7 linked regions of the Sus scrofa genome follow. The protein of the gene in region 1 purifies or fractionates together with the protein of each later gene. This does not show direct contact. Links are inferred from orthologs where the notes say so. Each region holds a gene or a part of one and is shown in the gene's direction. Other genes may lie near its edges. The genes, in order: ZC3H18, NCBP2, KIAA1429, SRPK2, FUS, FNBP4 and NCBP1.

The links.
Region 2: the proteins of ZC3H18 (region 1) and NCBP2 purify together in Homo sapiens (co-immunoprecipitation; 3 studies listed by BioGRID and IntAct, with this or other methods). This does not show direct contact. The link is inferred for Sus scrofa from reciprocal best matches to the Homo sapiens genes ZC3H18 and NCBP2.
Region 3: the proteins of ZC3H18 (region 1) and KIAA1429 purify together in Homo sapiens (affinity purification with mass spectrometry; 3 studies listed by BioGRID and IntAct, counting the BioPlex papers as one, with this or other methods). This does not show direct contact. The link is inferred for Sus scrofa from reciprocal best matches to the Homo sapiens genes ZC3H18 and VIRMA.
Region 4: the proteins of ZC3H18 (region 1) and SRPK2 purify together in Homo sapiens (affinity purification with mass spectrometry; 3 studies listed by BioGRID and IntAct, with this or other methods). This does not show direct contact. The link is inferred for Sus scrofa from reciprocal best matches to the Homo sapiens genes ZC3H18 and SRPK2.
Region 5: the proteins of ZC3H18 (region 1) and FUS purify together in Homo sapiens (affinity purification with mass spectrometry; 3 studies listed by BioGRID and IntAct, with this or other methods). This does not show direct contact. The link is inferred for Sus scrofa from reciprocal best matches to the Homo sapiens genes ZC3H18 and FUS.
Region 6: the proteins of ZC3H18 (region 1) and FNBP4 purify together in Homo sapiens (affinity purification with mass spectrometry; 3 studies listed by BioGRID and IntAct, counting the BioPlex papers as one, with this or other methods). This does not show direct contact. The link is inferred for Sus scrofa from reciprocal best matches to the Homo sapiens genes ZC3H18 and FNBP4.
Region 7: the proteins of ZC3H18 (region 1) and NCBP1 purify together in Homo sapiens (co-immunoprecipitation; 3 studies listed by BioGRID and IntAct, with this or other methods). This does not show direct contact. The link is inferred for Sus scrofa from reciprocal best matches to the Homo sapiens genes ZC3H18 and NCBP1.

What each region holds. Positions count from the first base shown.
Region 1 is NC_010448.4:1,078,729-1,082,884, reverse strand, and holds the start of ZC3H18 (zinc finger CCCH domain-containing protein 18), read left to right. Parts: upstream 1-1,356; 5' UTR 1,357-1,540; intron 1,541-4,156.
Region 2 is NC_010455.5:133,183,709-133,187,208, forward strand, and holds part of NCBP2 (nuclear cap-binding protein subunit 2), read left to right. Parts: intron 1-2,691; coding exon 2,692-2,873; intron 2,874-3,500. UniProt on the Homo sapiens protein: Component of the cap-binding complex (CBC), which binds co-transcriptionally to the 5' cap of pre-mRNAs and is involved in various processes such as pre-mRNA splicing, translation regulation, nonsense-mediated mRNA decay, RNA-mediated gene silencing (RNAi) by microRNAs (miRNAs) and mRNA export.
Region 3 is NC_010446.5:42,186,424-42,189,923, forward strand, and holds part of KIAA1429 (protein virilizer homolog), read left to right. Parts: intron 1-1,984; coding exon 1,985-2,107; intron 2,108-3,121; coding exon 3,122-3,394; intron 3,395-3,500. UniProt on the Homo sapiens protein: Associated component of the WMM complex, a complex that mediates N6-methyladenosine (m6A) methylation of RNAs, a modification that plays a role in the efficiency of mRNA splicing and RNA processing.
Region 4 is NC_010451.4:105,261,890-105,265,928, reverse strand, and holds the start of SRPK2 (SRSF protein kinase 2), read left to right. Parts: upstream 1-1,239; 5' UTR 1,240-1,254; coding exon 1,255-1,381; intron 1,382-1,660; exon of another isoform or gene 1,661-1,814; coding exon of another isoform or gene 1,815-1,830; intron 1,831-1,920; coding exon 1,921-1,975; intron 1,976-4,039. UniProt on the Homo sapiens protein: Serine/arginine-rich protein-specific kinase which specifically phosphorylates its substrates at serine residues located in regions rich in arginine/serine dipeptides, known as RS domains and is involved in the phosphorylation of SR splicing factors and the regulation of splicing.
Region 5 is NC_010445.4:17,323,766-17,328,034, reverse strand, and holds the start of FUS (RNA-binding protein FUS), read left to right. Parts: upstream 1-1,469; coding exon 1,470-1,482; intron 1,483-3,034; coding exon 3,035-3,059; intron 3,060-3,154; coding exon 3,155-3,309; intron 3,310-4,161; coding exon 4,162-4,269. UniProt on the Homo sapiens protein: DNA/RNA-binding protein that plays a role in various cellular processes such as transcription regulation, RNA splicing, RNA transport, DNA repair and damage response. Binds to ssRNA containing the consensus sequence 5'-AGGUAA-3'.
Region 6 is NC_010444.4:14,919,533-14,923,032, forward strand, and holds part of FNBP4 (formin-binding protein 4), read left to right. Parts: intron 1-1,304; coding exon 1,305-1,615; intron 1,616-1,737; coding exon 1,738-1,882; intron 1,883-2,282; coding exon 2,283-2,626; intron 2,627-3,500.
Region 7 is NC_010443.5:239,491,097-239,495,372, forward strand, and holds the start of NCBP1 (nuclear cap-binding protein subunit 1), read left to right. Parts: upstream 1-1,476; 5' UTR 1,477-1,919; coding exon 1,920-1,953; intron 1,954-4,276. UniProt on the Homo sapiens protein: Component of the cap-binding complex (CBC), which binds cotranscriptionally to the 5'-cap of pre-mRNAs and is involved in various processes such as pre-mRNA splicing, translation regulation, nonsense-mediated mRNA decay, RNA-mediated gene silencing (RNAi) by microRNAs (miRNAs) and mRNA export.

The sequences.
Region 1 (4,156 bases):
ATTTCAATTAGATTAGTCATGAAGTCTGGTTAGGCTTAGCATAAGTGACTCCATTTTGGGGCTGTTGTTTTCATTTTTTTAATTTAAAAAAATTTTTTTTATTTTTTATTTTTTTGTCTTTTGTCTTTTTACGGCTACTCCCAAGGCATATGGAAATTCCCAGGCTAGGGGTCTAATCAGAGCTGTTTCTCTTTAAACAACATTGGGAATAGTTAAAAAGTTTAAGCTTTGACATTTAAACTCAGTATCTCAAAAATGATTGTTTTGTGTTGGATCAGTTATATTTGATAAAGCAATAGCTATTTAGTTACACAGAAATAGTTTCAAATGTTTCAGCTTTGACTTTTTTTTTTTTTTTAGGGCCACACCCTCAGGATGGAGGTTCCCAGGCTAGGGATCTAATCCGAGCTACAGCTGCCGCCTACGACACAGCCACAGCAAGCCAGATCCGAGCCGCGTCTGTGACCTGCACCACAGCTCACGGCAACACCGGATCGTAAACCCACTGAGCGAAGCCGGGGATCAAACCCCCAACCTCATGGTTCCTAGTCAGATTCATTTCCGCTGTGCCACCACGGGAACTCCTAGGCTTTGACATTTTAACTCGCTATCTCGAAAATGATCATTTTGTTTTGAACTGATTCTATCTAACGGAAGGGGGGATTTAATCCCCCCAAAACAGTTTAAAAAGTTTAATCTTCGTTATTTAAACTCATTTCCTGGAGTTCCCGTCGTGGTTCAGCAGAAAGGAATCTGACTAGCATTCCTGAGGAAGCAGGTTCGATCCCTGGCCTCGCTCAGTGGGTTAAGGATCTGGCACTGCAGTGAACTGTGCTACAGGTCGCAGACACGGCTCTGCCCCCTCGTTCCTGTGGCTGTGGTGTAGCCCGGCAGCTACAGTTCCGATTTGACCCCTAGACTGGGAACTTCCATAAGCCGCGGGTGCGCCCTGAAAAGATTAAAAATAAAATAAACTCATTTCCCTGAAAGGACTAACTTTGGATTGGGTGCGCAGCCCCCCTGCGCGGAAGCTCCCCACCCGGAAGGGGGCAGGTAAGTTCTTCGCCCCACCTCCCCGGGACCCATCTCCGCGCGCAGCTCGCACAGCGGGGCGGGAACCCGCCGGCGCTCACGCGTCACGTGACCCGGAGGCCCGGGAAGCTCTCCCAGCCGCACGACGGCCGGCGCGCGCGTCCTGAGACCCGCCCGGGAGGCGGGGCCTCGGCCGCGCCTGCGTCCTGTCGGGTTCAGGCGGGCGCGCGCCGCGGGGGCGGGGCTGCGAGGAGGCAGCTGCGCGGAGGCCGGAAGGAAGCGGGCGGAGGGCGGGGCAAGAGAGGTAAGCCCGCCCGGCCCGCAGGACAACCGTCGCGGCCTGATGACGTCGCACAATGGCCGGCCCCCGCGGGTAGTGGAGCCCGTTTGTTCCGCCCGCGTCGCGCCTCAAGCCGGAGCCTGTGAGGAGCGGAAGGGTCGAGGGACGACTTCCCCACGCCGCCCCGACCTCCGCGGAGCCGTGGCCCCCCCTCCCTGCTCTCGTAAGGTAAGTGGTGGCGCCACCACGGAGGCGGGGCGGGTAGAAGGAGGAGGCCGAGGCGGCCGGGCGGGGAGCGTGGCGGCGGCGCGGAGCGGAGGCCGGGGAGCCCCGCCGCCTCCGCCTCCGGGGAGCGCTCCAGGCTGCCCGCGGCCGAAGCGTGGTTCTCGAGCCCCAGGAAGAGGACGTTGACTCAGGCACGATCCTGCGCTCCTTTCGCTGCGAGCCGGCCGGGGACCCTGGAACCCTTTAGCCCGAGCGCACGGCGGCTGCCTCCGCGCCCGCCGTGGAGTTGATCTCCCGAAGCTGTCATTTCTCTTCCGGGACATCCGCGTGGCAGTGTTTGCCGCCTACAAAGACCGGGGGAGGGGGCGGCGGAAGGAGGCACGCAGGCTCACCCTCCGGACTGGGGATGGGCTCTTCAGGAGCTTTGAACTCTCTCGAGCCTCTTGGAACTTGCCCCCTCGGCTTCCCGGTGGCACAGGTTGGACCTATGCGCTGCGCCCCAAGATGCGCGCCACTCTTTGGAGTAAACTTCCTTTCCTTTGGTAAGGAGCCCAAAGGATGCCGGGTCATTGCTGGGGGGACGTCAGACTTTAAGACTTCCGGCTTTGCTCCTGCGAAAACTTCAAGTTTTCCTGAATTCTTACGACAGCTGAGTTGGCCAGGTAGAATGGTCGATTATCTTAAGTGAGCTGTTCAGCTCCATCTGTTAGAGTAGATCAGCCTTCGGATCTCTTTGGGGAGAATGGAAGGAGAGGGCTTTTGGGGGCACAGCAGTGGCTCTCTTGGTTTCTCATCTTCACGTTGCCTTTGGAGTGGTCCTTTCCCAGAGCGGAGATTGGGATTCTCAGGGTGAGTCTGGACCTGGGCTGATTCCCATTTCCCCAACAGGAAGTCTTTTCCTAGTGATTTTACAGTCTGAACACATGTGTGGAGCCCAGCCAGCTCTGAAACCATTCAGATGTGTCCCAGAGGTTAAAACCCCTCAGCCTCTCCAATTTGAGGTGGGAGATGGTGAAACATTTTATGAAAACTTTGTGGAATCGTTCCCGAGAGCAGAAGAGTTTTTGGGTTTGTTTTTTTTTTCCTTTTTCACTGATCATCTCGAGGTGAGTGAGTGCATCCTCCCTGAGGGGTCATTTGGGGTCAGGCTTGGTCAGGTTGGGGACAGTGTCTGTCACCAACCCACACATCCTTCCTTTGGATGTTTTAAGTCTATGAAGTTATGATTCTGCATTTTCTTTTTGTCTTTTTTTTTTTTTTGCTATTTCTTGGGCCGCTCCCGCGGCATATGGAGGTTCCCAGGCTAGGGGTCCAATCGGAGCTGTAGCCACTGGTCTACGCCAGAGCCACAGCAACTCGGGATCCGAGCCGCGTCTGCAACCTACACCACAGCTCACGGCAACGCTGGATCGTTAACCCGCTTAGCAAGGGCAGGGATCGAACCCGCAACCTCATGGTTCCTAGTCGGATTCGTTAACCACTGCGCCACGACGGGAACTCCTGATTCTGCATTTTCTTTTTTTTTTTTTTTTTTTTTTTTTCTTTTTTTGGCTTTTTAGGGCTGCACCCGCGGCATATGGAGATTCCCAGGCTAGGGGTCCAATCAGAGCTACAGCTGCCCTGCTGGCCTACGCCACCGCCACAGCAATGCCAGATCCGAGACGCGTCTGTGACCTATACCACAGCTCATGGCAACGCCAGATCCTTAACTCAGTGAGCGAGGCCAGGCATCAAACCCGCAACCTCATGGTTCTCAGTCAGATTTGTTTCCGCTGTACCAGGACGGGAACTCCTGAATCTGCATTTTAACTAGGCGTACCAGACTTGAGCATTCAGGTAGGGCTGCTCTATTAAAAGTTGTTAGCCTGGATGGTTATGTTTATATTCATTGGCGCTCCTTTGCCAAACCTCTTTCGAAGTCCTGTTTTTGTAGTAAATATATAAGCCTTGTTTGGGATATGTATCAGTCTCATTCCGTGGTCACACCCCACGTGTGACCAGAAATGCTCTTACCTTGCTTGGGAACTCACCCCACTGACCAGACTAGGCTCTGCACTGGTTTCTTTGAGAGGAGGAAGACATGCTGCCCTGGAGAGTGCCAGGCTCTGAACTGGTTTCTCAAAGTGATGCCACTTGAGAGGAGGAAGATGTGCTGCCATGGAGAGTGCCAGGGAGGTGCTGCAGGTTCGGAAGGTCACTCGGGAAGGAAAGTTCCCACGTGCCGTTCACTTGGAGTCCAGGTGTAGCCTTCCAGAGCGACTGCTGGGAAGCAGGACAGCACCCGCGGGGTCTGAGTTCCAGCGCGCTCTTCAAAAAAGGAGACGCTTGGTTCCCATGTCTTCCTGGTGCCCAGGAAGTAGTTGATCCAGTGCGAGACTTGTCACTGACTCCACAGGCAGCTGTCAGTGACCGTCACTAAATCTAACATGCTCTGGGGACTCTCTGGCCCTTGTTCTTCTGTTCTCCAGGCGAGTTCCTGTCTGTGGATCAACGCACTAAAGCCTTCTAAACTCTGCCAGTAATGCTGGGTTATGGGGCGATTGTGGGAGCAGAAGAAACTGAAAATTGTGAGCCTAGGAGTCGGTGAGGACGCGACCGCAGGTCCTTCCATTTCCGCGT
Region 2 (3,500 bases), on another chromosome or scaffold:
TGCTGAGGGAAATTTTCGGTTGGCCCACATCATAGCAGATTCTGTGGGAAGGGGGAGGCTGCGGGTTTTTAAGGTGAGGTCTTCAGTATCAAAAAAGGTGGGGGTGGGGTGAAGGCGCCACTTATTAACTGTTGGTTATTTGAAAAGTTTATATTGTACTGTTGCTGAAGCCTTTTGCTAAACTCTGGAGGGAGAGGGAAGAGTTTCCACACCCTAAGAGTTCATAATCCTCTAGGGTTTATAGGATTGTAAATGGAAGGACGGTGGAAGTGTAGGGATTTACAGTGGAGGCAGGTAGTCTAGAGCAGAAATGATGAATGGAAAGAGAGGGGCTGTGAGAATTCAGAAAATTCTCCTGTGACTGGGAAAGGAGTGGGCACATAAAGAAGAGGGTAGGTGTGGAGAATGTTTAAAATGTGTTAGTAGGCTAGGGAAACAGGAAATTTGAGGCCAATATCATACCTTAAATAAGTACTTACACTACAGCTATCTTAATTTAAATAAGTACACTACAGTTGTCTTAATTGTAGGCTCTATGTTGGGATACTACTTATATGAAAAGAAAGGAATATGCCTCTTGATCATAATTTTAACAAGTCGGTAATATAAAGTAGTAATATAAATTATTTAATTCTCATTTCAAAGTCCTGAAAAAACCTATTTTTAACATAGAATGATTCCTGTCAACTTTTTAAGGAAATAGGGTATTGAAGACTGGGTTTGGATTCCAGCTACAACTACTGATGAGCTGTGTGACTTGGACAAGTTACTTAGCTCTTTCCTCATGCAGAATGAGAATAGTAAATTAGGACCTACCTCATTCAGCTCTGAGAAGTAAATGAGACTTCATACATGGCAATCTGACCTGTAGTCTCTTGATTCTCCCTAGAGGCAAACGTATTACCTGTCTCTTATGTATGGTAGCTGGGTACATTTATACTTCTAAGAAATATAACTCAGAGCATGTCCTTCACATTGTTCTGTGCCTCCCCCCCCCACTTTGCTCCCTATCTTGGAGATGCTCTGTATCATTGCAGTAGAAATACATTTTTCTAGGGGTTGTATAGTTTTATACTTATTGATGTACCACAATCTTTCATCATTTTCCTTTTGACATGAGTTTAGATGGTTCCTGTTTTTGGTCTACCACTGAATGGGATCACCGAATGAGATTACTCTGAGTCTTGTGCTAAAAGCGTTCAGAGATGGATGCAAAATCTTTTTTTTTTTTTTTTTTTTTCTTTTTAGGGCCATACCTGCCGCATATGGAGGTTCCCAGGCTAGGCGTCGAGTTGGAGCTACAGGTGCTGGCCTACACCACAGGCCACAGCAACTCAGGACACAAGCCTTGTCTGCGACCTATACCTCTACTCACAGCAAAGCTGGATCCTTAACCTGCTGAGTGAGGCTAGGGATCGAACCCACAACCTCATGGTTACTAGTTGGATTGTTTCCACCACGCCACAACGGGAACTCTGCAAAATCTTATTTTCAGAGTAAAGGAAACTGGATTATCATTATATATGGAATAATAAGGGGAGCCTCTTGGGAAAGTGCTGTGGGGCAAAGAGTGTGGATCTACTTAGCTACTTTCCAAGCTAGAATATAGTTGATGTATAGTTGATGATTGAGCCCTAACCTGGATCAGAGGGGCCTGAGAGCAGGTCAGCTGGTAGACCTTCTATTTTTTTTTTTTTTTTTGTCTTTTTGCTATTTCTTTGGGCCGCTTCCGCGGCATATGGAGGTTCCCAGGCTAGGGGTCCAATCGGAGCTGTAGCCACCAGCCTACGCCAGAGCCACAGCAACGCAGGATCCGAGCCGCGTCTGCAACCTACACCATAGCTCACGGCAACGCCAAATCGTTAACCCACTGAGCAAGGGCAGGGACCGAACCCGCAACCTCATGGTTCCTAGTCGGATTCGTTAACCACTGCGCCACGACGGGAACTCCTAGACCTCCTATTTAATCAGCCTTTGTCCTCCCCATTGTGGAGGCTAGAAGAGAAGGTCTAAGGACAGCCATACTTACTGACTTTTGTGACGGTAGGTAAGATACTGTGTCTAGCCCATGCTAAGCCATTTTGTCCCCAAGGATTGTCAGACACAGGACAGGATTGTTACACACCTGTCCTTGGCTTCATCCTGTCTTCCAAATTAGGAAGCCTGTCAAGATAGTAAGATCTGTTGTTTTTGGTGATCACTACATTTTCTCCTAAATGCAAAAAATATATAAGAGCATGTAAATCATCCAGTCAGTTGTTGCTCTGAACATTCTCTATAGGAGTATATAGGGAATACCCTATCTCTAACCATTTATTTTTCACTAAAGAAAATAAAAAGGTCATTTCTAGTATATTGGTTCAAGGTCCTGAAATTAAACTTGGGCCATTAGAGAAGGATCCAGTGCTGAGAATATGGAGAATGCAGGCAAAAATCATACCACTTGTGTTGGAGAAGGAGGGCTGTATATAACCTTAAGCTGTGGCCCTCTACTAAAAGCAGTCTGGGCCTTGCAAAAGTTCTTCTTAGAATCTAACACCCTTGGCAAGGGATGATTGAGAGTTGGGATGATTAAGAAAAACTGATTTCCAAATCAGAATTAATGACAGTTTTCCCATACTTAGGAATTCTACTTAAGCACGGCTCTCCTTAGATTGTGTTACTTAGCTTTTTCTCCATTTGAATTTCTAGGGTGACAATGAAGAACAGGAGAAGTTACTGAAGAAAAGCTGTACATTGTATGTTGGAAATCTTTCCTTTTATACAACTGAAGAACAAATCTATGAACTCTTCAGCAAAAGTGGTGACATAAAGAAAATCATCATGGGCCTGGATAAAATGAAGAAAACAGCGTGTGGGTTTTGCTTTGTGGAGTATCCTTCCTGTGTGTCTATAGATGGCGGCCAGCAGTGGGCCCGAGTGTAGCAGTGTAGCGGGTTACATAAGTGAGAATATTCACTAATTAGCATCTGACACTTATCTCTACCTCTCCTTCCTTCATCTACTCTTACCTCCAGTGTATCTGTATTCTTATATTAGGAAAGCTGGTAACATTTATATTCTGTTCTGAAATCCATGCTTTGTTTGTAGTTGATTAAGTCTTTTTTTTGCTTTTTGCTTTCTAGGGCTGCACTTGTGGCTTTTGGAAGTTCTCAGGCTAGGGGTAGAATTGGAGATACAGCTGCTGGCCTATGCCACAGCCACAGCAATGCCAAATCAAGCTGTATCTGCAGCCTATACCATAGTTCACATGGCAACACCAGATCCTTTAATTCACTGAGTGAGGCCTGGGATCAAACCTCCATCCTCTTGGACACCCAGGTTTGTTACCACTGAGCCACAAGGGGAACTCCTGATGTTTTTGTTTTTTTTAATTAATATTTCCTTTTTGGGTCATTTTGTTTGAGAAATTTCCCAGACCTGATCTAACATGTCTTTTGAATTTTCTGTGCCTTGAATTGTTTGTTTGGTGTTTTGTTTTTGTCTGTTTTATCTTTTTA
Region 3 (3,500 bases), on another chromosome or scaffold:
AATATCTCTACTTTCATTTCTGATTTCATTTTTTTTTTTTTTTTTTTTGTCTTTTCGTGTTTTCTACGGCCGCTCCCGAGGCATATGGGGGTTCCAAGGGTAGGGGTCTAATAGGAGGTGCAGCTGCTGGCCTATGCTAGGGCCACAGCAACATGGGATCCAAGCCGAGTCTGCAACCTACACCACAGCTCATGGCAACGTCAGATCCTTAACCCACTGAGCAAGGCCAGGGATCAAACCCGAAACCTCATGGTTCCTAGTTGAATTCGTTAACCACAGCGGGAACTCCTCATTATTCTTTTCACTTTTTTTTTTTTTTTTTTGTCTTTTTGCCATTTCTTGGGCCACTCCCGCGGCATATGGAGGTTCCCAGGCTAGGGGTCTAATCGGAGCTGTAGCTGCCAGCCTACGCCAGAGCCACAGCAACGCAGGATCCGAGCCGCGTCTGCGACCTACACCACAGCTCACGGCAACGCCGGAACCTTGACCCACTGAGCAAGGGCAGGGACCGAACCCGCAACCTCATGGTTCCTAGTCGGATTTGTTAACCACTGTGCCACGACGGGAACTCCTCATTATTCTTTTCTATTGTGTCTAGTCTTATCACCTTGTCTGACATGTATGTTACTTATGTATAGTTACTCTAAGTTTTGTTGAATTTACTGACTTGTTTGAAAATGAAATAAAATGGCAGTTCCCATTGTGACTCAGTGGTAACAGCCCGATTAATATCCATGAGGATGCAGGTTTAATCCCTGGCCTTGCTCAGTGGGTTAAGGATCTGGAGTTACTGTGAGTTGTGGTGTAGGTCACAGGTGCAACTTGGATCCCGAATTGCTGCAGCTGTGGTGTAGGCCAGTAGCTGTAGCTCCAATTCAACCCCTAGCCTGGGAACCTCCGATTGCCTTGGGTGAGACCCTAAAAACAAACACAGAGAGAGATGTAAAATGAACACTTAAGCTCATATATTGTACATATGTTTGTGTATATGTGTATATGTTTTTAACTTTTTATTTTGAAATAGTTGTAGATTTACAGGATACTGCAAAGAAATGTATAGGGAAGTCCTGTGCGCTCTTCCCCAGGTTCCCCCAGTGTTAACATCTTTTACAACTCTAGTACAAATCAAAACAAAATTAGCATTGTTACAGTCTGTAGAGCTTGTTCAGATTTCACCGTTTATTCACGTACTTATGTGTTTGTGTGTGTAGAGCTCTTTGTAATTTTATGTCATGTCTAGTTTCGTGTAACCATTACTGAAGTTAAGTTTTTTTTTTAACTCACTAAGCAAGGCCAGAAATTGAACCTGCATCCTCATGGATACTAGTCGGTTTTGTTATCACTGAGCTGTGACGGGAACTCTGCAGTTCAGATTCTTGATTGTATCATCAAAAGATTCCCTGGTGTTACCTCTTTGTAGCCACACACATCTTATCTGTTCTAATCTTTGGCAATCAATGATCTAGTCTCTGTCTCTGTAATTATTTCATGACTATTACCAAAAAATAGAATCATGAAGTTGGAATCAAGACATTGAGATTGGCATTTTTCATTCAGCATAATTTCTTTGAAGTTTATCTACTTTTTGTATTAGTAGATCATCCTTTATTGTTGTTGAGTAGTAATACATAGTATAGATGTATTATAGTTTACTTAACTGTTCAGTCATAGTGTCCAGTTTTTGACTTTTGCAAATAAAGCTATTATGAGCATTTGTTACATCTTTCTTTCAGGAAAATAAGTCTCCATTTCTCTGGGATAATGCACAAAAGTTATATACATTATATTTTGGCATATGGGAACTCAGAAATTTTCACTTTCCCCATACAAATTAATTCACAAAATTTCTGTTAGACATCAGAAAGGAAGTTTATAAATTCTGAAGATGAAAACTCAAATGATGAATAGCATTTTTTTGTCCTGCATTTGTTTTCACTATACTTTAATAATTTGAAAGTTCTTTTTCTGTCTCTAATAAAACTAGCTGATGGGGAGAAGGAAGATCAATTTAATGGAAGCCCTCCAAGACCACAGCCAAGGGGACCGAGAACTCCACCAGGACCCCCTCCACCTGATGATGATGAAGATGATCCCTTGCCATTGCCAGGTAGAAAAAATATTAATGGTACCTTTTTTTTTTTTTTTTTTTTTTTTTTTGTCTCTTGCCTTTTTAGGGCCACACCTGCAGCATATGGAGGTTCCCAGGCTAGGGGTCGAACCAGGGCTACAGCTGCCGGCCTATATCACAGCCACAGCAACGCGGGATCCGAGCCGCGTCTTGGACTTACACCACAGCTCACAGCAATGGATCCTTAACCCACTGAGCGAGGCCAGGGATCGAACCCGCAACCTCATGATTCCTAGCCGGATTCGTTAACCACTGAGCCACAACGGGAACTCCCAAGATTAATGTTAATAGTACTTTTTGATTAAAGAAAAAAAATTTAGATGCTGGTAATCAAATCTTAATGAATTTGTCCTGCCCCCATCCCGTGCAGTGTTTTCTTGCAGTTTTTTTTGTTGGCACGTGAACTTGTTTAAAAAAAAAAATTGGCAATGTTGAAGCAACATTGCTTTGAAAATAAAATGTTAATGTGCTATAGCGGTATGTACAGAACAGCACTAGTATGTACATAAAATGTAAGACTTGGAAGAGATAAAAATCTGTATAGTTACTTAATAGCTAAAAAGAAGATTATTGAATTAGAACATAAAATAGCATACTTTATTAATTCTCACTGTATAAGGTTGTGCAGTGTATATTCTTAATATTTTTTCGAAGCAAATAATTCTACTGCTATCTGTTTATTTATTTATTGCTTTCTTTTAGGGCCGTACCCACAGCATATGGAGATTCCCAGGCCAGTTGGAGGACAGCTCACGGCAACGCTGGATCCTTAACCCACTGAGCAAGGCCAGGGATTGAACCTGAGACCTCATGGCTGCTAGTCAGATTCATTAACCACTGAGCCATGACAGGAGCTCCTCTACTACTTTTTAAAAAACAGTGTTTATGAGCTAAGTCATCCATGATGTCATTAAGTAGTTGTGATACCAGTCCTTCTGCCTCATGTTATTTAAGCCATTAAAATAATCTGTGCCTTAAATCTCAATTTTTTAGTGTCTGGTGACAAGGAAGAAGATGCTCCTCATAGAGAAGATTACTTTGAGCCCATTTCTCCTGATCGGAATTCTGTTCCCCAGGAAGGTCAATATTCTGATGAAGGAGAAGTAGAAGAGGAACAGCAAGAGGAAGTAGAAGATGATGAAGATGATGGGGATGTAGAGGAAGAAGAGGATGAGGATGAGGATGATCGCCATACAGTAGATAGTATCCCTGAAGAGGAAGAGGAAGATGAAGAGGAGGAAGGTGAAGAAGATGAAGAAGGCGAAGGTGGGTTAAATTAGCTAGGACGTCTTGGTTTTAAGTGCTAGAAACTAGCTTGATGTAGCTTTGAGCAATGCAAAAGAATTTATAGCAGAGATAAATGGCTTTCAAG
Region 4 (4,039 bases), on another chromosome or scaffold:
CCAGCGGGTTTAGCATCTTTAAAATAATCATACTTTTTTTTTTTTTTTTTTTTTTTTTTGGTCTTTTCTAGGCCCACATCTGTGGCATATGGAGGTTCCCAGGCTAGGGGTCTAATTGGAGCTGTAGCCGCCGGTCTACACCATAGCTCACAGCTCACAGCAATGCCGGATCCTTAACTACTGAGCAAGGCCAGGATCAAACCCGCAACCTCATGGTTCCTAGCTGGATTCGTTAACCACTGAGCCAGGATGGGAACTAGCATCTTTAAAATAAATATTTTATTTATTTATTTTTGTCTTTTCTAGGGCTGCACCTGTGGCATTTGGAGGTTCCCAGGCTAGGGGTCTAATCAGAGCTTTTGCTGTTGGCCTAAGCCACAGCAATGCCAGATCCGAGCCGCGTTTGCAACCTAGACCACAGCTCACAGCAACGCCAGATCCTTAACCCACTGAGCGAGGCTGGGGATGGAACCCTCAACCTCATGGTTCCTAGTCAGGTTCGTTAACCACTGTGCCATGATGGGAACTCCATAAAATAAATATTTCAGAGCAGCTATTCTGATCAGTTAAAACTACAGATGATGGAGTTCCTGTTGTGGCTCAGCAGGTAAAGAACCCCGAGATAGTGTCTCTGAGGATGTGGGTTTGATCTCTGGCTTTGGTCAATGGTTTAAGGATCCATTGTAGGGGTAAGCTGCAGTGTAGGCTGTGTATGAGGCTTGGATGCAACCCCTAGCCTGGGAACTTCCATATGCCCCTGGATGGCCTTAAAAAGAAAAAAAAAGAAAAAAAGCGCAGTTGAGATTAAATGGTCAGGATGAATCTCTTTCAGAAATATAATTATTTAAATGAACAAGGGACCTCTGCAGTTATTTTTCTCACAGTCATCTTGATTAGGAAACATGATGCGTGAGTTTGGAGTCAGCTAGGCCTAAATTTGAATCATTGCTGGGTAAACCTCTTCAGGACTGTTTCCTCTTCGTAAGATGGAGAAAGAACTCCTTTGGTGGGTTGTTGAATTAAACTGTTACCTATGGTATTTACAGAGCTGGGCTTTGATTCGTGTGCAAACACTTAATTCAACCTTCCATGCTATTTGCATCGTTTCCTTCATCACACTCGAGCAATCCTCTGGGGTAAAGGTGAGAAATAAGATGACTTTTCCAAGGTCACACAGCTATTGAAGGACCCAGGTTTCCCAGCTCTTGGTCCTGTGCCCTTTACACACTCGCCGGAGAGGAGGGAGCGGCGCTCATGGGGATGCAAGGATGTAGAGGAGCAAAGGGGGAAAAGAGGCCGCGCGAGGAGAGGTGGTGTGAGACCCATGGAGGCGCTGGCCCAGGAAAGGCGCATGGAGAGGCGGGCAGCGCGTCGGGCCGGGGTAGGTAGAGGGGCTATGGCTCGTGGCCCTATGCCGGGGAGAGGAAGGAGGCCTGGGCCAAACGCGGGGGCGCAGGAGCCGAAGGCCCAGACGGCGGCGGGGGCGGGAGCAGCGGTGGACGTGGGGGGGGGTCATTTTCGCCCAGGTGAGTCAGGCGGGTGGGTGCAGGTGGGTACGGGTGGCGCGGGAGGGACAGCGCGGAGGGTCTGGACCCCACCGGGTGGGTGGGGGCGGGGCGGGGGCGGGGCCGGCTGGGGGCGGGTCTTGCTGGGCCCCCAGCTGGAGCGGCAGCTGCGGCGGCGGCGCAGGCGCGGTCCCCGCCTCCTCCTGGCCGGCAGAACGAGTGGTGGCTGCATCCCGGCTCGGCTCCCGCGTCGCCGCCGCCGACGCCGCTGCCGCCGCGAAGCCCCCTCCCCGCTTCCGCTGCGTCGCGATGAGCTCCCGGAAAGGTGAGTGGCCCGTGGCGTCCTCTCTTCCCTGCCACGCGGCCCCTGAGGCCGGTCTGCCCGACCGTTAATGTGTGTCTTCTCTTTCCTCAGTGCTGGCCATTCAGGCCCGAAAGCGGAGGCCGAAAAGAGAGAAACATCCGAAAAAGTGAGTCCACGCTGCGCTAGTCTCCGGACCCCCGCCCCTGCCCGGTCGGGGGTAGCCCGCGGCCGCGCAGGGGAAAGTTGCTCGGGTCCCCGGGGCGGGCGAGCGGGCGGGCTGATCCCCCGGGACGCCGGCGCTCGCCTCCAGCGCGCCCCGCGGGCTGCCCGGGGGGAGGGGCTGACGGTCGGGGGAGGGGCGCGCTGGCCCGCGGCCAGCCCGCTGAGCATCCCGGACCCTCGGCCCCTTGGGTCCCAAGGCACAGGGGGCTGACGGACGAGGAGGCGCCGGGCGTGCGCAACGTCCCCGGCTCGCCGAGCTGTCCCGGGGGTCGCGGGCCTTCCTGGGAGGGGCGGTGGCGTCTGCAGGCCGGGCCCGGCCCCGCCGCGCCGAGTGCCGGCGTGAGGCTGCGGCGTTGCTCCCACCTGGCCACCTGGGCCCTAGAGGAAGAGGAACGGAGTGTGAGAAAGAGTGTGTGTGTGTTGGGTGTCTCCTCCTCTTCCTCCCCGGCCCCCACCTTTCGGCCTTTCAGCTGAAAACCCGAGCTGGTTGTCAAGTGGTTTGCCTCGGGCGTGTTCCTGGCTCGAGTTCAGCTCCGAGACCTGTGCGTTTCGGCGCTTGGGTTTTTTTCCGAAACTTTCTGCCCGGGCCGAGCGTGCCTTCACTGCGCGGCGGCTGCGCCCGGGTCTCCGGCTGCGCGGGACCGGTGGGCGTGTGCGCGGGCGGTCCTCGGCGCGGCTGCCCAGCCCCTCATTGTGCTGGGAGGCGACGAACGGGGTGGTGATATTTAAAACGTGCCAGCCGCCAGCCACCCCCAGCCTGGCCGCGGACCGGAGTGGGAGCGCCCGGCGCTCGGGAAGTCTTTCCTGGAGAGCTGCTTCGGGACCGCGGAGCGCCGCCGTGTCTCTCCCTTTCTTTCCTGGTTTTGAAGAATCTATCAGCGTTCAACATCTTTACTCCTTCTCCCAGATTTGTGGCTTCCCTCTTCCATTTGAGCAAGAAATACCCTGTGTTAAATTTGCTACTATAGGGATAGCCCATCATCATCTTTAAATAAAATCACGAAATATTTCTTGTTTGTTTTCTTTAGGGGACGAACCTGCAGCCTTCCTAGGCTTTTCCCCTTCCTATTAGCCTTGATTTCTGCTTAGCGAATTTCACACCCATTGGTGGCGTCTATGAAAACTGCCTAAGTCTTTACTATTAATGTAATGTATCGTGATAGGATTTTTGTTCATTCAAACCGGAATATAACTTGAAAGTATGTTCAGCATTTCACAAAATGTCGTAGCAACATCATAATGCCTTAAAAAAAAAAAAAAGAAAGAAAAACCTACTAGAGCGAGGAAGAAGTACTTATTAAGGACTTAAGGAACTGGTGGGTAAAAATTGGGTATTACATTCTCGAAACGTTAAATAGCAATGGATATTTGATAGTTTTAGATGCTTTAAAAATTAATGCTCTCAATCAGAACCTTACATTAGGCATTTCTTTTGGTGAACGACGGAAAGCCCATAAGTAAGGACTGTAATGTTTAGGATCCTGAGTGTTGGGTTTGGAGCACAACTTTCAACTCAAAGAGTTTATTCCTGCATAGCCCCTTTTTTTTTTTTCAGAAAAGTTAATAGAAGTTGAAAAAGACATGCTGGGAGTTACCCTTGTGGCGCAGCGGAAATGAATCCGGCTAGTATCCATGAGAATGCAGGTTCAGTCAGTGGGTTGGGGATTCTGCGTTGCGGTGAGCTGTGGTGTAGGTCACAGACACGCTCGTATTCTGCGTTGCTGTGGCGTAGCCCAGCAACTACAGCTCCAATTTGACCCCTAGCCTGGGAACTTCCATATGCCGTGGGTGCAGCCCTAAAAAGACACCCCCCCAAAAAAAGAAAAATGCATGCCTTTTTTTTTTTTTTTTGTCTTTTTTGCTATTTCTTGGGCCGCTCCTGCGGCACGTGGAGGTTCCCAGGCTAGGGGTCCAATCGGAGCTGTAGCCACCGGCCTACGCCAGAGCCACAGCAACGCGGGATCCGAGCCGCGTCTGCAACCTACACCACACAGCTCACGGCAACGCC
Region 5 (4,269 bases), on another chromosome or scaffold:
TTCCCAGGCCAGGGACTAAACTCTGGCTGTAGCAGTGAAAGCACCTGATTCTAGCCACTAGACCACCAGGGACCTTTCTCAATACTTTCAGCTTTCCTTCTCCAGGCAAGGCTGATGAGAGTGCAAGTTGCAAGTTAATTTGAATTTCATGTTTTGTCCTTTTTCTCATAAGGAGTGAACAAGCTTCAGAACACTTCAAAATGTCTGTATAACTAACAAAAGGAGTATTTTGCAGCCACACAGACCTGGATTCGAATTAGACCCCTTACATTTGGCTGTTCCATAATCATAGATTGCATTTGGCCTGAGTCTCATTTTTTTGGTGTATAAAAGATAGCCTTGCTATCTTTCTTCGTAAGATTGTGATGGAAAAGCAATTAATTGGGCTTTTTTTTTTTTGGCCGCGCCCACTGCATGCAGAAGTTCTGGGGCCAGGGAGTGAACCCTTGCCACAGCAGCCACCTGAGCCACAGTAGTGACAACGCCAGATCTTTAACCCACTGTGCCCTGAGAGAACTCTCTAATTGTGCATTCTGAAGCCACTTCAGCCCTATACAAATATCAATTATTGTTGGATCTGCACATTGATTCCTCCGTAGGGTTTCAGGAAAATACTCCCAGCCCTTTATCAGCAAAAGGCTGGGAGAACCCTGATATAATCTCAATCTCCGGATTGTTTGGGCTTTTCTGTCCAACAGCGAGTCAGAAGCCAAGCTTTGAGGTTGTAGGTGGGCCATAAATGCTTAATCAAAACAGGACCCAGGGGTCCGAGCTAAACTCCATGCTTGCTTTCACGTCAAACGTCACAATCCACAAGCCCTGGTAAGGACAACCCTGAAAGACGATGAGTGAAAACCAAGACGAAGAAAGGTAGTGTGTGTGGTCGGGGGAGGGACGTTAGAACCAAGAGAGGGAGGCTGGCGCGGGAGGGAGGATGCATCTGATGCAGTGGAAGGGCAGTGGAGCGGAGAAGCTCGCTATCCGGAGTGAAAGTGAGGCCCAGCGAAAGGGGCCAGCCTGAGGAATTTCGGTTCCCGCCCCACGACTCCCGGCTTTGACTACAGTTCCGCCCGCAGACGCCCTAGGCCCCTCGCCCCGCCCCCAGAGGGTAATCGGACTGTACCATTATGATCTTATAGGGGTGGAAGTGAATCTTTGGCTCGTCCTTCAGAGAAAATATAAATTATTTCTCAGAAAAAATAAGGCTATATATATTATTTGCATGGTTCTTAGTGAATAACAATTATGTTCTGCCGGCTAGGACCCTATATATTCCCTGAAGGGCGGCAGGAGTCCGGCCATGCTTCCCCTTTTCCTTTCCGCATTTGGTGCATTCCCCCAGGATACGTAGGCGGGGGAGGCGTACATAAACCTCGACGCAGGAGGCGGGGCTGCTCAGTCCTCGAGGCGTCGGTGCTCAGCGGTGTTGGAATTCTGTTGCTTGCCGGCCTGTGCGCGCGTGCGCGGACATGGCCTCAAACGGTATGTAAGTGCGCGAGGCGGCGGTGGCGCGCCAGCCCTGGAGCTCGTAAGCTCCCAGTTGGGCTTTTGTTTCTCGGTGGGGCCCGGGCAGCGATCGCATGTAGGATCTTCTCCGCACCACTGGCGGGAAGCAGCGGAGAGGGGTGGAAGGGGGAGGCCGATGTCGCCATTTTGTTTCGCTCCGCTGGCGCCTCGCGCAGGGCGGGAGGTCTTCCCTTTGCAGCCCCTTTCCTTTAGGTGAGGGTTGGGAGGAACTCTTCTTGGTGACTGGGGACGTGAGACGCGGATGGAAATGCTTGGTCCCCGTAGCCTTCTCTCCTCCGCGTCTCCAGCCCCGCGCTCGGGCCCGCTTTGTCGCAGTGCTGCATCCGGGCACTCGGTGCGCGCACGCGCTCTACTGGCCCCTCCCCCCTTTTCTGGCGGCGCGAACCCCCCTCCCGCCTCGTGTCGGCCCTGCTTTTTGTCGCGAGACCCTCCACCGGCAGCTCCGCGGCGCTCGTCCGGTGTGGGCCTCGCTCCCGGGGTCCCTCGGGAAGGGGCGGGACCTCCTCGTTCCCGCCTCGCGTGCCACGCGGCTGGGGGCGGAGGCTTTGGATCGGGACCGCGCGCCCGTTTAACGGCTAGGGGTGGGGGGCTAGGGGGTGGTCCAACGGACTTGGGGACCGGGTGAGGCTTTTCCCGCCTAAATTTTCCTCCTTGGGAGGTAGGAACTGAAAGGAACGGCCGCCTTAGGCCACACCCTCTCCCGATCCTTTTGCCGTTTCCTGCGGGGAAAGCTGTTTCCTGTATCGAGATGAGTTGATCAGGCTTGTGCTGTCTTCCTTGTGGCGTTTTCGTTACCTTGGATTCGCCAAGTCTCCCCGCAGCCCCGAGGCAGGCAGGGGAGATAGGAACTCGTTGGGAGCCGTAGGGCTGAGGACCTGAGTACCAGTCGGCTTGCCTCTCGAGGCGACCGCTCTTTGATGGCGATCTCTGTCGTTTGGGGTCAAAGAATTCTCCCTTCTTGGTGAGCTGGCTCTGCACTAAAAGCCCCCTGTTCCTGTCTCCAAGATTGGATGGAGGGTGGCCTCTCTCCAGATCTTGAGACTTTCTTTGGGTTGAGAAAGTGCAGGCTACAATCGGAACGTTTTTGCTTCTGGCTTGCAATAAAGCCTGTTCTGCTCAAGCAGCTGTGTGGCTTCAGTTGGACTCTTGGGGATACCTTCCTCATAGAGTGGGTGTGAAAACATGTGAGTCAGTTTGTGCAGTTCCGGATATCAGTTGAAGTTGCAGAAAAATGGTAGTTGTCCACCAGGACTCTTGCTTTTTCCAGTACTTAAGGCCTCTTGGTCTCGGTAGAAATTCGCTTTTTTGGTGTGTCTTTATTGTGAGAAAACTTGACTTTGGTCTGCCGTCTTGCCCCTCTCAACTAGGGTTTCAGGAGGGGATTTCTGCCTTGTCAATTTTCACATCTAGGGGCTCTGGGGCTTGAGTTGAGGCCTTTACCTCTAGTTTGTTCTCTTAGGGGTGGCTGAAGGTAATGTTAATATGATTGTATTTTTCTGTTTTGCAGACTATACCCAACAAGCAACCCAAAGGTGAGTGTCATTTCTGGGTTTCCAGAGTTTGTAGGGGGCAAGGGTGGCTAAGGTGTCTTTTCCTGAGAGCACCGTTGTTGCCTTTTCTTCTCCAGCTACGGGGCCTACCCCACCCAGCCTGGGCAGGGCTATTCCCAGCAGAGCAACCAGCCCTACGGACAGCAGAGTTACAGCGGTTACGGCCAGTCAGCGGACACTTCAGGCTATGGCCAGAGCAGCTATGGCAGTTCTTATGGACAGACCCAGAACAGTGAGTCTTTTTAAGTGGGTCACCCTTCCTCTTCCTGCTTTTTCTGAATGTTGCTTTTCTTAAACCTAAGCAGTGCTGAACTGTTGAAACTGTCCCCCAGTTTCTTTGCCCTTAACCAGTCTGTGATCCTTCAAGCTACTTAGAGTTTGAGTTCTTTCCAAGTACTTAATTCTGTTTCCTTTTATTTTCTTTGACTTTGCATTTTTTGATTTATGCTGCACTTCTCCCTGTTTCCCCTAAGAATGAAAGTGAAATTGGGGAAGAATATTCCCTAAAGGGAAAAGAGTTTTAAGTTTTTGATATTTAAAAGGAGAAAATGGGGAGTTCTCATCATGGTGCAGCGGAAACAAGTCGACTAGGAGCCATGAGGTTTCCGGTTTGATCCCTGGCCTTGCTCAGTGGGTTAAGGATCTGGCGTTGCTGTGAGCTGTTGTGTCGGTCACAGACGCAACTTGGGTGTGATCCTGTTGTGGCTTTGGTGTAGGCCAGCTGCTGCAGCTCCAATTCGACCCTTAGCCTGGGACTCTCCCTATGCTGTGGGTGTGACCCTAAAAAGCATAAAAAAAAATAAAAGGAGAAAATGATTTGCTTGAAGACGTTGGAAATCAGCATACTGTATATCACATTGATACACAAAGAGGTGGAATTTGCCCTTAGGTGCTGAAGGGTAAATAATCTGAGATGTACATCACAGGCTGGTTAAATGCTGTTAAAGGAGAGGGATCTCTTGGGCTGTGATTGGCGGTGGTTCAAGAGGCTGGCTTCAGGTGTAGGTAGCATTAGGGATGTATACAGTGTTTCATCAACCTATTCTCATTCCTCAATTCATGACTTTTTTTCTTTTTCTCGTAGCAGGCTATGGCGCACAGTCAGCTCCCCAGGGATATGGCTCAACTGGTGGCTATGGTAGTGGCCAGGGTTCTCAATCGTCTTACGGGCAGCAGTCTTCATACCCTGGCT
Region 6 (3,500 bases), on another chromosome or scaffold:
TTGCTTTGGTTTTTCATTGTTGAGTTCCAGCATGATATATTTTGAGCACAGTAAGATGAAAAGCCTTATCCTTGTCCTAGAGCCTTTTATAATAGAGACCTTAATTAATTTCCTGCTTTGACCAAGAAATTTGATTGGTGACTGTATCTGGATCTCTTCTCCATGAGAAGTTAAATTTATTTGAAATTTCTAAAGCTCTTGGACTCCTTGATGTTTCATGAGGACATCTTGTTAAAATAGCACTAGTCTAGGAGTCAGACTGGCCATTAAGAGCTGTGTGATCTTGGGCAAATCATTTCCCTCCTGGGTTTCATTACCTTAAAAATGAGAGGGTTAAATTAGATGATTTCTCATGTTTCTTCTACTCCTAAATTCTATGATTTTAGGGAGAAAATCCCCTTCAACATTCCTGGGATATATATCTAATAGTCCCAGATATTGTGAAACTTCCCTATTGACGATAAAGAGGGATGGGGAAGGCTACAAGTAAGTATATCTTCCTATTTTCTCTAATTTTTAGAGCTTTTCCCAGCAAAGAAAGGACAGTAATTAACTATTAATTTTTTAACTTCAACAGCGATTTCAAGTCCTCTGTATCTTCAAATACCTCTTTGGTGTGTTACCATTTATCATTATCGTTTACCTTGAAGATTCATTCTCTTCAATGAGTTTCCCTTTTCTCATCACAGAAATAAAAAATTACCCTCCTTAATTTGTTACTGTGATTTAGCAAGTGAATAATTCACACAAAGGTGTGAAGAAATGATAGAGTTGACAATATCACCTTGCAAATGGATTTTTTTAACTTAGTAACCCAAATTAATTTAAATGGGTAGAATTTGCTGGAGTATTTTGAAGGGGTACTTCTCTGGATCATCCCTAATCACTTATCTAGCTCACTGAAAAATAAACTCATGGAATCAGTATTGAAAATGCACATCGTTCACTCCTTCACTTTTGACAGAAAAGATCCCAAGTGTTGCCTTCTGGTTGTATATCTTTGAAATAAAAAACTTCAGGTTCAAATGACTGAATTTTTTACTGAGTTAATGTGATGTGCTTCATTTACTCATCCATAAAACCTGGACCCCCCCCCAAAACAAACTGATACAACACAGCTAAGGCCAGTGCTAACTGTAAATTCTATAAATTTATCTTTCGTGGAAGTCATTTTTGAACTGAGTTTAATATTTCAGTGACGTCAGTGTAGAATACATGTGTGTGGGACAGATTGTGTCTCACCAATTGAACATTTAAGTTTTAGGCTTGTTTTTTTTTCCCCTGACTCCTGTTTGTTTTCGTAGGTTCCCTTTGTAAAGAATCCTTTTCTGGTCAAGTTTCTTCTTCGTCACTCATGCCACTTACTCCATTCTGGACCCTCCTTCAGTCAAATGTGCCTGTGCTTCAACCTCCATTACCTTTGGAAATGCCACCACCTCCACCTCCACCTCCAGAATCCCCTCCTCCCCCTCCTCCCCCTCCTCCTCCAGTAGAAGATGGTGAGATTCAGGAAGTAGAGATGGAGGATGAGGGAAGTGAGGAGCCTCCTGCCCCAGGAACAGAGGAGGATACGCCATTGAAACCTTCAGCACAAACCCCAGTTGTCACTAGCCAGGTGAGAAAGGCCATGTGGCATTCTGAAGAGTCTTGGGGACCTGGGGATGACTGACACCATGTTTTATTTTAGAAGGTATTTAACCAGATCTTGAGCCACTAACTAGAATCTCTCCTTTTCAGAGTTCAGCTGATTCTACCATCTCTAGTTCTCCTTCCACTAAAGCAATAAAGAGAAAAGCTACAGAAATGAGTACTGCAGTAGTTCAGAGATCAGCTACCATAGGTAGTTCTCCAGTCCTCTACAGCCAGTCAAGTATGGCTACAGGTAAGCATTGTGTTTACAAGGTAATTTCATCAGTGCATTATCTTTGTTTCCAGAATAAGATAGACATTGAAGAAACACAATGTGTTTCACTACAAAGACTGTGTGTGTGTTTCTTTCAGTTACTAAAAACCACTCTTAAGAGCTTGGCATATATCCTTCTATGTTGTTTTCTGTACATTTACCTAACATCAGTGATCTTGATGTTTAAGTATTTTAATGTTAAAATGTTCAGAAATTAATAGTTTGCCACCAGAATATGTGGCTATGTTTTTTGAGGAAAAGGTGTATTAGAGTCATTTTGTGGGTGTTCTAACCCTCAATTTCCTTTTCTTTCTTTTCCTTGTTTTTGGCTTTTTCACAATGTCCTTTTTATAGTTCCTTTTCACGTATTTTCTGTTAGGTCACCAGGCAACAGGGATTGGACACCAGACCACAGGAATTGGACACCAAACAATAGCAGTTAGCCATCCAGCAACAGGAATGGGTCATCAGGCCAGGGGAATGAATCTACAATCAAATTATCTAGGACTGGCATCAGCTCCTGCAATTATGAGCTATGCTGAATGTTCTGTCCCATTGGCAGTAACTGCCCCCACATTGCAGCCAGTTCAGGCCCGGAGTGCTGTGCCTACCACTGCCATTATAGAACCACCACCTCCTCCTCCTCCTCCTCCTCCTCCACCACCACCACCAGCCCCCAAAGTGCCACCACCTGAGAAGACCAAAAAAGGAAAGAAAGATAAGGTATGGTAAATCTCTCTTTAAATTTTTATTTAAAATTTGTGTTATTAGGTTAAGAATCCGGCGTTGCTCTGAGCTCAGACGCGGCTCAGATCTGGTGTGGCAGTGGTGTAGGCCTCCGGCTGCAGTTCCAATTCTATCCCTAGCCTGGGAACCTCCATATGACACAAGTGAGACCTTAAAAAGACCAAAAAAAAAAAGACAAGGTTTGCGTTATCAAAGTAATATTTAAAGTAGACAATTCAGTAGCATTTAATATATCATAGTGTGGTGCAACCACCACCTCTTTCTGGCTACATACATTTTCCTAACTCCAAAAGATCAGTCACTCCTCATTAACTCCTTCCCCTAGTCCCTGGGAACTACTGGTCAGCTTTCTGTTTTCACCAGTATACCTGCTCTGGAATCGTGTATATGTGAATTTTTGTATCTGCGTTCTTTCACTTAGCACTTAAATCTCCAGGTTCATCCATATTGTAATGTGTACCAGGACCTCCTTCTTTTTTATGGCTGAATAATTTTCCATGTGTGTATATACAATTTGTTTATCCATTCATCCGCTGATGGGCATTTGTATTGTTTTATTTCTTTTGGCTATTATGAACAGTCTATGTGAACATGCATATTGAGTGCTTGTTTTCATTTCTTTGGGGTATGTATATATTTTAAGAGTGGAATTATTGGCTCATATGGTAATTCTGTGTAACTTTTTTAGAAACTGTCAAAGTTTTTCCCCAGTGGCTGAACTATTTTATATTACCACCAGACGTGTACAAGGGTTCTGATATTTCCAAATGCTCACCAACCATTGTTGTTGTACATTTTCTTTTAGAAATTATTATTGGGGTGCCTGGTTGTCAATGCTGTGGCTTGGGCT
Region 7 (4,276 bases), on another chromosome or scaffold:
TCTGTAAACAACAATTCCATTCTTCCTGTTACTCAGGAAAAAACTTTGGGATTCTTGTCTCCTCACTCTTTCAGAGTATTGAAAATCCTGTCAATTCTGCTTTTGAAATATAATCACATCAGATGACACTGCACTACCTTCCCTACCAACCCCACTTAAGCAACCATTATTTCTTGCATGAATTATTGCAATTGCCTAACTGCCCTTCTCCCGTAAGAGCAAGAGGGGTGACTTTAAAAATAAGTCAGATCTCTCCCTCCAAAGGCTTTTAAAGGCATCAGATAAAGTCCAAGGTTCTTATAAAGCCTTTCCCACCACACCCTAATCGCATCTTTTTCTATTTTTGCCCACCACCTCTGACTGCAGTTTGCTGGATTCCTCAACCGGTCATCAGCACTGAGAAAGCAGGGGTTTTCCTTCGTTCACCTCAGCCTCCTCAATGTCTAGAACACTGCCTGGCACATAATAAATACAATATTTGTGGTATGGAGTAAAAGGTTGGGTGGCCAGGGAAGGATTCCTAAGGGGGCTGATGCTTGAGCTGGGACTGAAATGCCAAGGAGCCATCCATGCATACTTAAGGGTAGAAATCTTCAGGCAAAGGAATATAAATGCCTAAAGGGTGAACAAGCTTGCCTTACTGGAGGTACAGGAAGAAAGTAAGAATTGTTGGAGCATAGTGATAAAAGAGTAGGACCCTGTAGGTCAGGTTACTTTACATCGCAAAGTCATGAGAGAGTAGTAAAAAAGGAGTAACTGATTCCAGATCGGTTTTGAAAGTAGAGCTGATAAGGTTTACTGATAGTTCATTAGGTAGTAAGTAAGGAGCCAAGAATGACTCCTACCTACATTTTTGGATTAAGCAATCGGATGGATGCGTAAAAGTGAAGGAGCAATAGGTTAGGCTAGGTTAGGCTAGGAGAATGAAAGGTTCATTTCACGCGTGTGAAATTTCAAATGGCCATCGACAAAGCAGATAAGCAGCCGTGGTGTTCACCACAGAGGTCAGGGCGGAGAATATTCACATACACATAATGGAAGTATCCAATAACCACTGGAAACATTACTAAAGCGATCAACAACTCAGAGGGGCGAGAGGTCAGACGACGGTCAGAAGCTAACCGCAGAGCAGCAAGCTCAAGCTAGGCAGGGTCTTTCGGTCCCCAGAGCTGCTCGAGCGGCGCCGCTTCCCGCTTGGGCCCCACCCCGCGCGCCGGGCCTGGCCCAATCTCTCCTCCCAGCTTTCCCGAGTCGGCAGAGGCCCGGAAGTGGGAGAAAGATGAGCACGTACCCGCCAGTCCAGATCCTTTCTTAGATCTTTCTTCACCAAACCGTCTCCGCCTAGCAATTGTCACCTCTCACCACCCTTGCACCTCCAGCCCCCGCCCCTGTTTACGTAGGAAGGAACGCCGGGGACCTCACCTCGCCCCGGAAGTCTAGGCCGTTAGCGAAAGGGCCGCCGGGAAAACCACTGAGAGGCCCGGGGGGGAGTCTGAAGTGGAGGGAGTCTGAACTAGAGCGTCCCTCCTAGACCACCCCCGCCAAGGCGTGGCTCGCGGCCTGCGGGCTCCGGCCGCCTGGGGAGGCGGTGCTCTCCGCGTGGCCCCGGAAGGACTTCCCGCGGAGGCGGGCGAAGGAAGCAGCGGAGAGGCGGAGGCAGCCCGAGGGGGCGGTTGCGTGCGGACGAGGCGGCAGTGGCTTGGTGAGGTTCCAGACGCCGGCTCTCCGGGATCCGAGCCCGCCGAGCCCACCCGGCCACTTCTCCCCCTTGCGCTTCCGGGAGCCGTCGCGAGCGAGTGCGCCTGCGCGCGGGCCACTTCGTGAGCCTCGCCGCTGTCCTCGCGCCGGCCGGCTGCCCGACGGTTCCTGCCGCTCTTCCCGCCCGGCGTCTAGGCTCCGCCGCATACACAACGTGCGGCATGTCACGGCGGCGGCACAGCGACGAGAACGATGGTGAGTGCTCTGGGCCTGGCCGCCGAAGCCGCGCCCAGGTGGGGCCGAGGTTTGGCTTCTTCGGTCTTCAGGTCCTGAGCGAAGGGACGGGAAGCCCTTCCCCCAGGAACTTGCGGGGAGATGGGTGGCACAGCGGGAGTGTGGCTGGGCGACTGCTGGAAAGCTCGTGCTATCCCCCACCGCACCTCTTGAGTCGTCGGCGGAGGGGAGGCCTGGTGCACCCCTGGTCTCTAAGCACTCTTTAAGATAAGGTCCTTGGTACCGCCGAGCAGGGAAGTATATTTGTGTCTGTGCCGCTTCCCCTTAGAGACGGTGACCAGGACTCACTTGTCCCAGTGTCTCGTTTTGACCCTCAAACATCATGTATTAATGGCTCTCGGAAGGTGAGAGATCTGATGAATTGCAATCCCAGCTCTCCTGTGCGGGTCATCCGGGGTTTTGCCTTCTTTCAAACCACTGGGGAAGAAAAATCAGCTTCTTATCCGCACGCGAGAAGTCTTTAATAAATAGATATACGTAGGTCGTTATGTTAGATCTTGAATTGGTTGTAAGCTTATTTCTCTCGTTTAAGAAAAGAATGCCAGAAGACTCACTAGAGAGCTCGTAGAGGTTAGATCGGGGTTCCCATTTGGATATTTGCACTCATGGGGATCCTGGAATTGCCGTCATAGAAACCAGGAATAATTTAGCTAGTTAAAAATAGGAAACGATGCTTACATTAAAAAAACAACAGTCAAGAATACACATCTAGAAAAGCAAAAAGAAACTAAAAATAATTTAGTTATTAATACTTGAAAATAGTGTTGTAAAGTGGTTAAGAGGCCAGACTTTGGAGACAGAGGGTTTAAGTTCAAAGTTAGACCTTGCCATTTATTTTGTGATCTTGCCCAGATTATATCACCTCTTTAAACCTTAGTCTGTAGTATTGGATTAATGATACATGCCTGTTCTTGGTTTTGTGAGGATTAACATATGTAACTAATTGCTCATGATGATATGTATTTTATCATCTGTTAATGCTTAAGAATTGATAAGCATTGGCAGATGTCAACGATGTAGGAAAAAAATACGGATCAAAAAGTTGGATTTAATTAATTTTCTCCACTTATATTTTTCTCTCCTTGAATGTTGGGGCACTCGAGGGTAGGAACCAAATCCCACCTACTTAATTTTAACAATGAAATATCAGTTTTCTGCTAGGACATGGCTTGAGAGGATAGTCTAGTCCAGTCTTGTCACCTGACACCTAAGGGTCTAGATTTAGTATAATTAATGGAGATGGCTGTGCCCAGACACAGGTGAAAGCAAATCCAAGGTTCTTTTTGCTACACATGTATAGTAGGCTGCATGCTTTGATTTTTTTTTTTTTAATCACAGGAGGCTTCTTGTATAATGTACATACAGAGCACAGAAAATAGTCTTCATGTGCTTTGCATTTGATTAATTAAAAACCTAAATCTCCTAGAAGTCATCACTTGGTATTTGGAGAACTTGAGTCTAAATTTAAAGTTGTTCCCATTTTCTTTGCTCTTCTTGTGCTTTTTTTTCTCTTCTCCCTTCTAGGGCATTCCTAAAAGGAGAGGGAGTGTTTCCAAAGGACAGCCTGGAGAATTCGATGTGAATATGTAGTTTGGTTATTGGGATGCTAGCATAACTTTCTTAGGAGTTAGCTTCTGGCAGCTAAAGCACTGTCCATTTGGGTCTTGCTGCAGGAACCTCAGAATAAATAAGACAAAAGAAAAGAAAATAAGGAGTTAATCAAAATCCAACTAGGAACCATGAGGTTGCGGGTTCCATCCCTGGCCTCTCTCAGTGGGTTAAGGATCCGACGTTGCCAGGAGCTGTGGTGTAGGTTGCAGACGTGGCTTGGATCTGGCGTGGCTGTGGCATAGGCCAGCAACTGTAGCTCCAATTAGACCCCTAGCCTGGGAAACTCAACATGCTGTGGGCGAGGCCCTAAAAAGAAAAAAAAAAAAAAAGGAGTTAATCAAAGTTTACTATGAATAATTTAGTAGTAGAGGGGCAGTTAATAGTTCCTCTTAGATACTATCCTGGAACTTCAGTAAATTGCCGCACTTTGGGTAACGATCAGCTAGGATTTCTGCTAAAATCAGAAATATTGGGAGTTTAAAAAAAAAAAAGAGTTCCCATTATGGTTAAGCGGAAGGAAACGAATCTGACTAGCATCCATAAGAGTGCAGGTTCAGTCCCTGGCCTCTCTCAGTGGGTTAAGGATCTGGCATTGCCATGAGCTATGGTGTAGGTCACCGATATCACTTGGATCTGGCGTGGCGGTGGCTGTGGTGTAAGCCAGTGGCTATAG